Linked DNA regions of Bombyx mori. The protein of the gene in region 2 binds, or shares a complex with, the protein of the main gene of each other region. Links are inferred from orthologs where the notes say so. Each region holds a gene or a part of one and is shown on either strand. Other genes may lie near its edges.

Evidence for each region.
Region 1: ribosome biogenesis protein BOP1 homolog (region 2) and pescadillo homolog share a complex: the UniProt entries of both Homo sapiens proteins name them as parts of the peBoW complex. The link is inferred for Bombyx mori from reciprocal best matches to the Homo sapiens genes BOP1 and PES1.

Annotation. Positions count from the first base shown.
Region 1 is NC_085116.1:5,444,515-5,449,844, forward strand, and holds pescadillo homolog, read right to left. Parts: upstream 3,732-5,330; 5' UTR 3,529-3,731; coding exon 3,505-3,528; intron 3,427-3,504; coding exon 3,193-3,426; intron 3,103-3,192; coding exon 2,731-3,102; intron 2,106-2,730; coding exon 1,382-2,105; intron 1,004-1,381; coding exon 798-1,003; intron 509-797; coding exon 233-508; 3' UTR 198-232; downstream 1-197. UniProt on the Homo sapiens protein: Component of the PeBoW complex, which is required for maturation of 28S and 5.8S ribosomal RNAs and formation of the 60S ribosome.
Region 2 is NC_085124.1:470,777-474,635, forward strand, and holds the end of ribosome biogenesis protein BOP1 homolog, read right to left. Parts: intron 3,154-3,859; coding exon 2,935-3,153; intron 2,735-2,934; coding exon 2,631-2,734; intron 2,492-2,630; coding exon 2,172-2,491; intron 2,105-2,171; coding exon 1,955-2,104; intron 1,882-1,954; coding exon 1,728-1,881; 3' UTR 1,106-1,727; downstream 1-1,105. UniProt on the Homo sapiens protein: Component of the PeBoW complex, which is required for maturation of 28S and 5.8S ribosomal RNAs and formation of the 60S ribosome.

The sequences.
Region 1 (5,330 bases), on a different chromosome or scaffold from region 2:
GTTTTAATGAGTAGGTTTTTTATTAACCTGTTTTGTATGAAACCTAACAATTACTTGTTATTTTATAGTTAATTATTTTAAGTGTTAATTTCATAAGTATCATTTTTCGTGACATTTTTGTTATATTGTTTTCATAATAGCAAAATTTTTCTTTGTTATGCCTCAAAAATTTTGTACATATTTAAAATTAAAATAAGTTTTAGTTGTTGAAAATAGTATTTATTAATAAATCTCAAATAGAAGTAGCTTCTAGTGCTTGCATTTTTTGTTTCCGTTTTTCTGCCTTCTTTTCATCTTTGATCTTCTCGTCGTGAAGGCGACGTTTTTTCCTAAGCAGCCATATTTCCTTCTTACGTTTTTCTTGACCTGCTTTCATACTTTTATACAGATTGCGGTGCTTCTTTCGTACTAGCTTCTCGCGTAACCGGAATGCCTGTTTGTCTTCTATTTCTTTTTGATAAGGATGTTCTTTATGGGTTACACCTGTCGTTACCCTCATTGATTTTTTCTGAAAATAACCCATCATATATAAATTCTTTACTATCAAACTTATATTATATCTCCTATAATGATTTATTTTTCTATTCACATGAAACCTAAGATTTTTATCATTAATAAGAAAAAATTGGTTCTAAGTTATCGTTATTATTTATAAAAAAGTTGTAATCATATTAATAAAACTGAACATTATCAAAATTAGGTCAAACTGAATAAAATCAAGGTAGAAAACATAGAAAATTCTGATTTTCAATAGTAAAATTATAGTCATTCATATTATGTAGTGGGATTTTTTTTACCTTCTCTTTAGCCAGTTTCTTTTTCTCAGGGTCCAAATCATCATCATCATTTTCTTCTTCATCTTGAGATGAATCTTCATCAACCTCCTGCTGATATTGCTTAGTAATAGCTCTTTCAGCATCACTATCTTCAGAGTCGGGCTCATTTTGCTCCTCCTTGTCTTCATCACTGGCTTCTTCTATTTCACTTCCAGAAGAATCTGCATCTGTTTGAATAAATATCACTAAATGACAATGGTTAATTTTAAGATCATTGAGCTGTACCTTCTATATTATGCACAAACAATGTATGGCGCAAGCTTTCTAATTAACCATTGATATGTTTATTGCCAGCTGATATAAATGAAAATATTACTTAAGACTGAATATATTAATACTGAATATAAAAATGGCATATAAGTTTTCAGCCCACATGGTTTAAAGTGAAAAAAATATCACAATGTAAATAGCACCCACCCACCATGAGATATGAGATCAGTCATAATTATATTGAAATTTTGTGTCTACCTATTTGGAGTAATAAAACCAACACTGAAAAAGATTAGCATATTTCATTAGATAAAATTTGTTTGAAATATTCTTACTGAGTGGTTTGAAGTTTGGATCGTTAAGCTCTCTTTCTTCTGGTGGTATGTATACTTGATCTTTTATAGTGTCAACAAATGGTGACAAGTGAGGCGGAAGAATAGCACCAATCAAGTACTTATTGATTGGCAACAAAGTTCTTGTATTAACACTGTCAAAAACCCATTGCGGCTGGATGTAGTATCGCGATAAGTATTGTTTATCCATACTTGGTCTGTCTACTATTTGGTAGGCAATAGTTTCATCTGTCTCATCAAATGTTGCACCTACAAAGTGATCTTTATCCCATGAGCACTCTCCACCAAAGCAGCGAATTATGAATACTAAGGGTTCCCTGGGTACTTCTCTATTTATGTAAAACTTTAACCCTTTGAACAATGTTTTTAGCTTTTTAATTTTTTCTGCCTCAAGTTTGGCTTCTTCTAGTTTTTGGGGATCATTATCTTCTGTGGGAAATATGTCAATTTCTGGTAACTCTTCAACTTCATTTGATCCTTCAATTTTTGCAGGTGAAATATTCATAGCAGCTATACGTTCTGACACATATGATTGTTCGTCAATAAGGTCTTTGTCTTTTTCAGAAGAGAAACCAATAGGGAGTTTAGGCGGATAAACTAAATTCAGTGAGTGATACAGCTTGAAATTCACAAAACCAAGCATCATAGTGTAAAATTCCACAAATGTCGCCATAATTTTGAAGTCTACTTCATCTTTGCTTTGTGGCTGTTAAAAAAAACCAATTATAAATACTAGTGAACACCAGTCACACTCCACTAATTCTAGAAAAAAAATCAGTGTTTTGGAAATACTGCATGCCACCTAAGGTATATATATATCTAGATAGCACTATGACCTAAATCTTCCCTAGTGTGAATGATTACAGAATGAAATAAATGGTTTAGGAATGTAAAGAGAACAAACATACTAACTCTTTTCTATTGAGCCCACAGATTTCAACAACATAAATGCAACCATACACCTTGAGACAACAGTTCTTAGTCTCAGGTTTACTATACAATAGCAAACTTGCCTTCCTAATCAAAATGCATTATGGCTATGTGGCAGAAATAGACAAGATGGTGGTACCTTAGTGTGGGTTCACAAGACACCCTATCACAGTTAATAAATGAAACCAAGTATATTATTATGTCGAGCAGCTTTTGCTTTCAGTATCTAGATTAGTCCCACCCAGAACATGAATATAAGTGCTGACCCCATATGACCACTTAACAGTTGTAGAGGCAAGTTTTAATGTTTTTGTTTTTCTTTAGTACATTTTTGTATCTATTTAATATTTTTGATCATCTTTTAATGTTTGTTAAAACTTATATAATAAACATTCAAGTACCTGGAATGAGAAATGATGTGGAACAATCCATGTTATTGTTTGTCCTTCAAATTCAACTTGATAATAGAATCCCTTAACCGATACAAACACTTTACGTAGAGCCTTAGCAGCAATTACTGCATGCATGAATTCAACTGTCAGTCTTCTGCACAAGAATGATTGGTCTCTTGGAACTTTTTTCAATGATGGGAAAGTACTGAATAGGAAGCACAATGTGAGACAATCGTCCAAATCTCGCAAAGCGTCAACAAACGTGGGGTATCTTTCCTTTACTATGTGATCAATGTTTATTTCTGGATAGTCCCGCAAAAACTTTCTCATCTTGCCATATTCTCGCTGTGCTCTTGCACGACGAATTTTTTGTTGATAAACCTAAAATTAAGTCATTTTGTAAGTTTTAACAAAATTTTGAAAATAAACTTAAAGTATTACTTATATTGCTACTTTTGGCATATTTTTTACCTTTAGTTCCCTCAGTTTCCATATTATTGGCTCATGTAGTAAAAATTTTATATCTTTAGTGTGATAAAGTGTTTTGATTCCGCCTGCACCTTTTTGAGCCCTCTTTCGGTTTCTAGGTTCTCGGGGGTATATTCCTTTCAAAATACAAATACGTCTGAAATCTTTCAAGGATAGTTGTAGTTTCTTAAGCGCTGCTTTTCTGGTCATAAACTGAGCTCCTTCTCCGGAAGAATACTAAAAATAAAATATTTGTTGGTTAGGATCTTTGAAGACAACATAAAACACGTGTTCGATTTATAGGTAAGTACACACCTTCTTCTTCTTTTTGGACACCATTGTGATTGTTATCCTTGTTCAGAAAGTAATATGTAAAGGTTTTTTGTTTGGTTGTATTAAATATTGAATGTGCGTCTATTATTATTTCACAAGTTCGCACATTTTAGAAAGATTAATGGAGATTTGGAGATCAAATCAAAATCCAAACAGCATTTTGACATTTTTGACAGTAGTAGTAGTTCCATTTTCCAACAGAAAAGGCAAAAGTATCACATTATACAGTCTAAACATTAAACATTCTGATAAGTGAAAATAATAAGGATGAAATGAGGTGAAGGTGATTTATGATGATGACGCTTGACACGAGAGGACATCCTTCAAGATCTAGCTGGTCTACTCACATTTTTACCAGACGCCTGAAACTCTAACGCTAAGAACAGGCATAGGGACCCCGATAATCTAATCCATTGAAACCCATGAAATCTAACCCATAACATCAACTCGCTAAGTTACTCACCGGATCTTCTGATCGGTTTCGGTCGTATTCTATTTCGGTACTACATGTATGAAAAAATATGTTTGAGATATTATTTAAATAAAACTACGCAATCCCATAAATATTAAAGATTTCCGCAAAGAATGTAAAGACTACAAGCTGCTTAAATATCATGAAGGTCGGCAACGCCAGGGGCACAGTGAAGCTGCTGCAAGTGCACAAATTTGTTCCTTTTATTACCTTAGAAGACAGATGAGCACACGGCCTATTAGATCACCGAGTCGTCACCGATGCTCACAAATATGAATAATCCCAGTGGCTTAGCCGAGCTTCTGTAATGTTTACAAAACAACTCTTTTCGAGTCTCGTTTGATGAAGGAGGATATATGCTGCAAAACCTTAGACACATCTGTAGGAGGGATTTCATTCCAGAGCCGCATGGTGTTGTGATAAAAAGATCACAAATGTTGAATTGAGTGTTGCCAGGTCGGTGATATGTGTGAGTTTTGCTACGGTGGCGGGCACTGCAGTGGCTAAATGGGGTTCGCGGAATCATCATCAGAATTTTGAAGTCGTCGTGGCCTAAAGGACAAGACCTCTGGTGCATTCGTGTTGAACGATATGCACCGGTGTTCGAATCCCGCAGGTGAGTACCAATTTTTCTAATGAAATACGTACTTAACAAATGTTCACGATTGACTTCCACGATGAAGGAATAAGATCGGATAATAAAAATCAAACCCGCAAAATTATAATTTGCGTAAATACTGGTGGTAGGACCTCTGGTGAGTCCGCACGGGTAGATACCACCTCCCTGCCTATTTCAGCCGTGAAGCAGTAATGCGTTTCGGTTTGAAGGGTGGGGCAGCCGTTGTAACTATACTGAGACCTTAGAACTTATATCTCAAGGTGGATGACGCATTTACGTTGTAGATGTCTATGGGCTCTAGTAACCACTTAACACCAGGTGGGCTGTGAGCTCGTCCACTCATCTAAGCAATAAAAAAAAAAAAAAACTGGAACTATTCCTCAGATAACTTCTCATGGAACTTAAGATACAAAATAATTACAAAGAAAACGTTCATCGAAGAAAAAAATCATCGTAACTTAGCAAAGGTTTTGCTCCCGTGTTCATTTCGACTGAAGATCTAATTTAATTAAGGTTCATCTTGAGAATTTTTATTTAATAAGAAAATATATAATCCAGTTACATTTATTTAATAATTATCATAATATTATAAATTAATCCTTTTTTATTTATCTAAATAATATTAAAATCCAAAATCATTTATTTTCGCTCTTAGTATTAGGAGCAGGAGTTGTTCCTTGACTTTTGGTCCATGTACTAGGATCCATCATTACGTAC
Region 2 (3,859 bases):
TTAGTAGAACAAACACAACCTGTTTTACCGATATAGTAGACTAGTGTAAACATCGATCGCTAAACGTCATGTAAAAAAATAAACCAAACTAACCTATATATACCTACTTTAATAGCTTTTTAGTAAAAATTAAGACTTGACTTAAAGGTCTTAGTTACCACGTCATAAAATCCCTTAAGAAAATAACTTATTAAATTTATTAATGTACTTTTTAGCGGGAACGCGAAAAGTGAAGTTGTGCGATTTGTTTTATTTTGTCTATTTAGCGTTTCTTCGGGTTTAAATGTGTAATAATGGTGGTTTATTAACTATTTAATATCTGTAAAGTGCACAAATATTGGAAAATGAAACAAAGCCGCTGAACGTAACTTCTCGGGACGTTATGTTTATGAGTGTACGACTTTTTTATTCAAATCGATTTTCTATGGGTCTTTTGGAGGCAACGCAACGAACAAATTTATTCGAACTAATTTATATTGTTCATTTAATGATCGTTTCTACAATAGTAATAATAAAACTTCGCGAGAAGAATCGGTTGTATAAAAGATTCGAAGGCGCTTCATAGAAGAATAGTTTCACGAAAGGATAGTAAGAAAAGTGTCCCTGTTGAAACGATGACATAGACAGTCCAGGCTTGTAATTGCAAGAAGGTATGAAAACTGGACAGCTAAACTGTGGAGAAATGTACTTTATTCGGACGAGACAATACTGGTGTAGTGCAGTAATTAAAGACCGTGAATGTGCTTCTAACTATTAATTTTAGTTAAAAATGTATTTTCCTTTACACACTTCACATTTTTTTGATATTGCTTAGATGGTTGGACGAGCTCATGGCCCACCTGGTGTGAAGAGGTTACAGAAGCCCATAGACATCAACAACGTAAATTCCGCCACCCACTTTGAGGCATCAGTTCTAAAGTCTTAGTTATAAAAGTACAATGGCTGCACCACCCTTCAAACCAAAACGCATTACTGCTTCACGGCAGAAATAGGCAGGGCGGTGCTACTGTTGATACATACCTACCCGTGCAGACTCACAAGACATCCTACCACCAATAATACTGAAATTATATAATTTAGGCTTCATATAAAATCACTAGTGCAATTTCAATTTTTTCTTATATATTTATTCAGCTTCATTACAAACTGATTAAATTCATTACAAACTGATTAAATTTATTGCTATACCTATGTGGGAATATATACATATGTATGTTATATATGGCTGTTTCATAACATAACTGGTTACATATGAGAAGGAACACTTGCATAAATACACATATCAATATGATTTAGATAAAAAAAAAACTGTTATTTTAAATCATTCTTAATTATATCACCAGAACTATATATAAAGGTAATAATTGACTTTTAAGAAAGCCAACAACTAGGTACCGATGGTCTTTGCCTCGGGCAAGGTTCGAAGGTGCCCCCACAATGTGGGTTTTCCTTAAAATATTCTGCCCCCAGTCCAAAAAGGCCCACAAACATGATGTAAAAGTTGCAGTTCACTTTGAGATATGAGATAAATGTAAACCAATGTATTAGGGTTTTACAGTAACAATAGGTAGGATGATTGATAATATGTATGTCTATGTGGCAGTTTGTTGCACTCAGTGGTGGTCACGGGACGTGCGCGCGCCCACCGCCGCAGTGTAAGAAAAGGGACATTCCATCAAAATAATAGTGCTATTTATATTGTGTGCTAAAGTTTTTCTTATTGGGTTTCAAGAGTAGAGTCTGATAGTAGAATCTGCACCGGCGGCGAGCAGCCAGGGCTGCGTGGGGTGGAAGCGCAGGTCCAGCACGCACAGCTCGTCCTTGACTTCTGGGCCGCGGATTTGTTTGAGCGGGACTATCAGCGGGTTCTGCAGGAGATCGCTGCAGACAACATCACACTCATTAGGTACGGGAAGGAGTTTACGCGTTCCGGCGGCAGTCGGGCGACACGTACTTGTAGACCATCCCGTGCGACACCACCACGTGCGCGTCGTCGCCGCCCGTCGCGAACAGCGGGTAGCGCCGGTGGAAGGCCAGCGCGCGCACCGCCCCGCCGTGCAGCCGCAGCGTCTGGTAGGGCCGCGGGGACAGCTCCAGGTCGAACCTGCAAGAGAGCGCCGCACCGTCACCCCGCTGCAGCACGCGACCGCGCACTCAGGACCAGTACGCACCACATGCACTTCCGGTCGTAAGAAGCCACGAGCATGTTGTCTCCGGCGGGATGGAAGGCGAAGTCGCTAATCCACTGCGCGCCCGGCCGCAGCTTGCGCACCAGCTCCTGCTTGAGCAGGTCGTAGAGGCGCACGGCGCGCTGCGTGGCCACGGCGAGCAGCGGGCGCGCGGGGTGGAAGTGCGCCGCCTGCACCTGCCCCGCCAGGCGCGCCAGCGGCAGCTGCGAGCGGCGCCGCGACACCTGGTGCACGCACACCGCGCGCCCGCCCTCCGCGCGCACGCTCGCCGCCACGTAGTCGCCGCGCCCGTGCCACGACACCTGCGCACGCACTCTTTACAACGGACGTCTTTATTGACGAGAAGGGAAGCACCCGGGTGGGTTTTTTTAAAGTCAGAATCTAAAGATCGAGAAGAGATTTAATTTAAATGCGATCTATAAAATGTCTAATTGAACTTACGTGCACGATGGGCTTAAAGTGCGTGATCGCAATGCGTATCCCTTTGGCCCAGTCCTCCGGAGTGACCCGCTCCCACTTCACCGCAGACGCTGTGCGCTCGTCCGCTGCGCGTTATGACATTTTAGCACACTCAGTACATTAGTCGACTCTTACAAGACTTGGGGGACTAGAAAGCTTATTTTTTAGCTTAGAGCATTTATTTGAGATATACTGATTTAAAGCGGATAAAAACTTGTTTGATAGCGAAAAAAAAAAGTGAGTCATCGCATCCAAATGAAGTATGAGTTGTTGAGTGAGTGCTCACGCTGCACGTCGTGCTGCGGGGGCGGCTCGTCGAGCAGCAGGTCGGTGCGCGCGGCGCGGCGGTGGTGGCCGATGCGCGTGCCCGGGTTGAGCAGCAGCAGGCGGCTCCCGGCGGCGGCCGCCACCAGCCACAGCGCGGGCGCGGGGCTCCACAGCACGCGGCTCACGGGCTCGCCTAGCTCTATTGTGCGGAGACAGCGACCCGTACTAGTCTCCCATACTGAAACCGCATATAAACTATTTTATTACGCATTTATAGAGCTTTTTGTAAATTTTATTTACATAATCTATATCTAAATACATATCGACGCTTGAAAGGCAAACGTGACTAAGCGACAATGCGTGAACTTTACAGTAGACTAATTTAAAGTTGAAATACCTGAAAACAAAATTTATTTTAACGAATCCAGTTGTAGTAGAAACTAGCTAGTAGCTGTAGGATTGAAATGATTTTAATAGACCTAGAAATATATATTTTTTGCGGATCAAATATGGTTATTGCCTATCATTTATGTGCAAAGCAGTTATTGTCGCTTAGTCACTTTTGCCTTTCAAGCGTCGATATGTATCTAATTGTGGCTCACGCATCTGGGATTGAATACAATACAATTAAATATTACTTTGGCCTAATGTCCTGACTGGACCACCCGGATAACAAAATAAATATTTGGAATTTTAGTGCAGCTTGATATTGGAGTGTCTGTTTTTAGTTTTTACAATATATTTTAATTTGCAACTTTGTTCTGTGACCTCTGACCGAAAGTGGCCTACCCTAATTCAATCTGCAATGAGTGGCATGAGCCGAGCCGGCGCGCTGCGGTGAACATGTAGTATTGTTATAGTACGGACTCCGTTATTTCAATTAAGCAAAACGGTACCAATTCAGTCAATCTTTTCTAAGGGTGCGTTGCAACTCAGTTAAATAT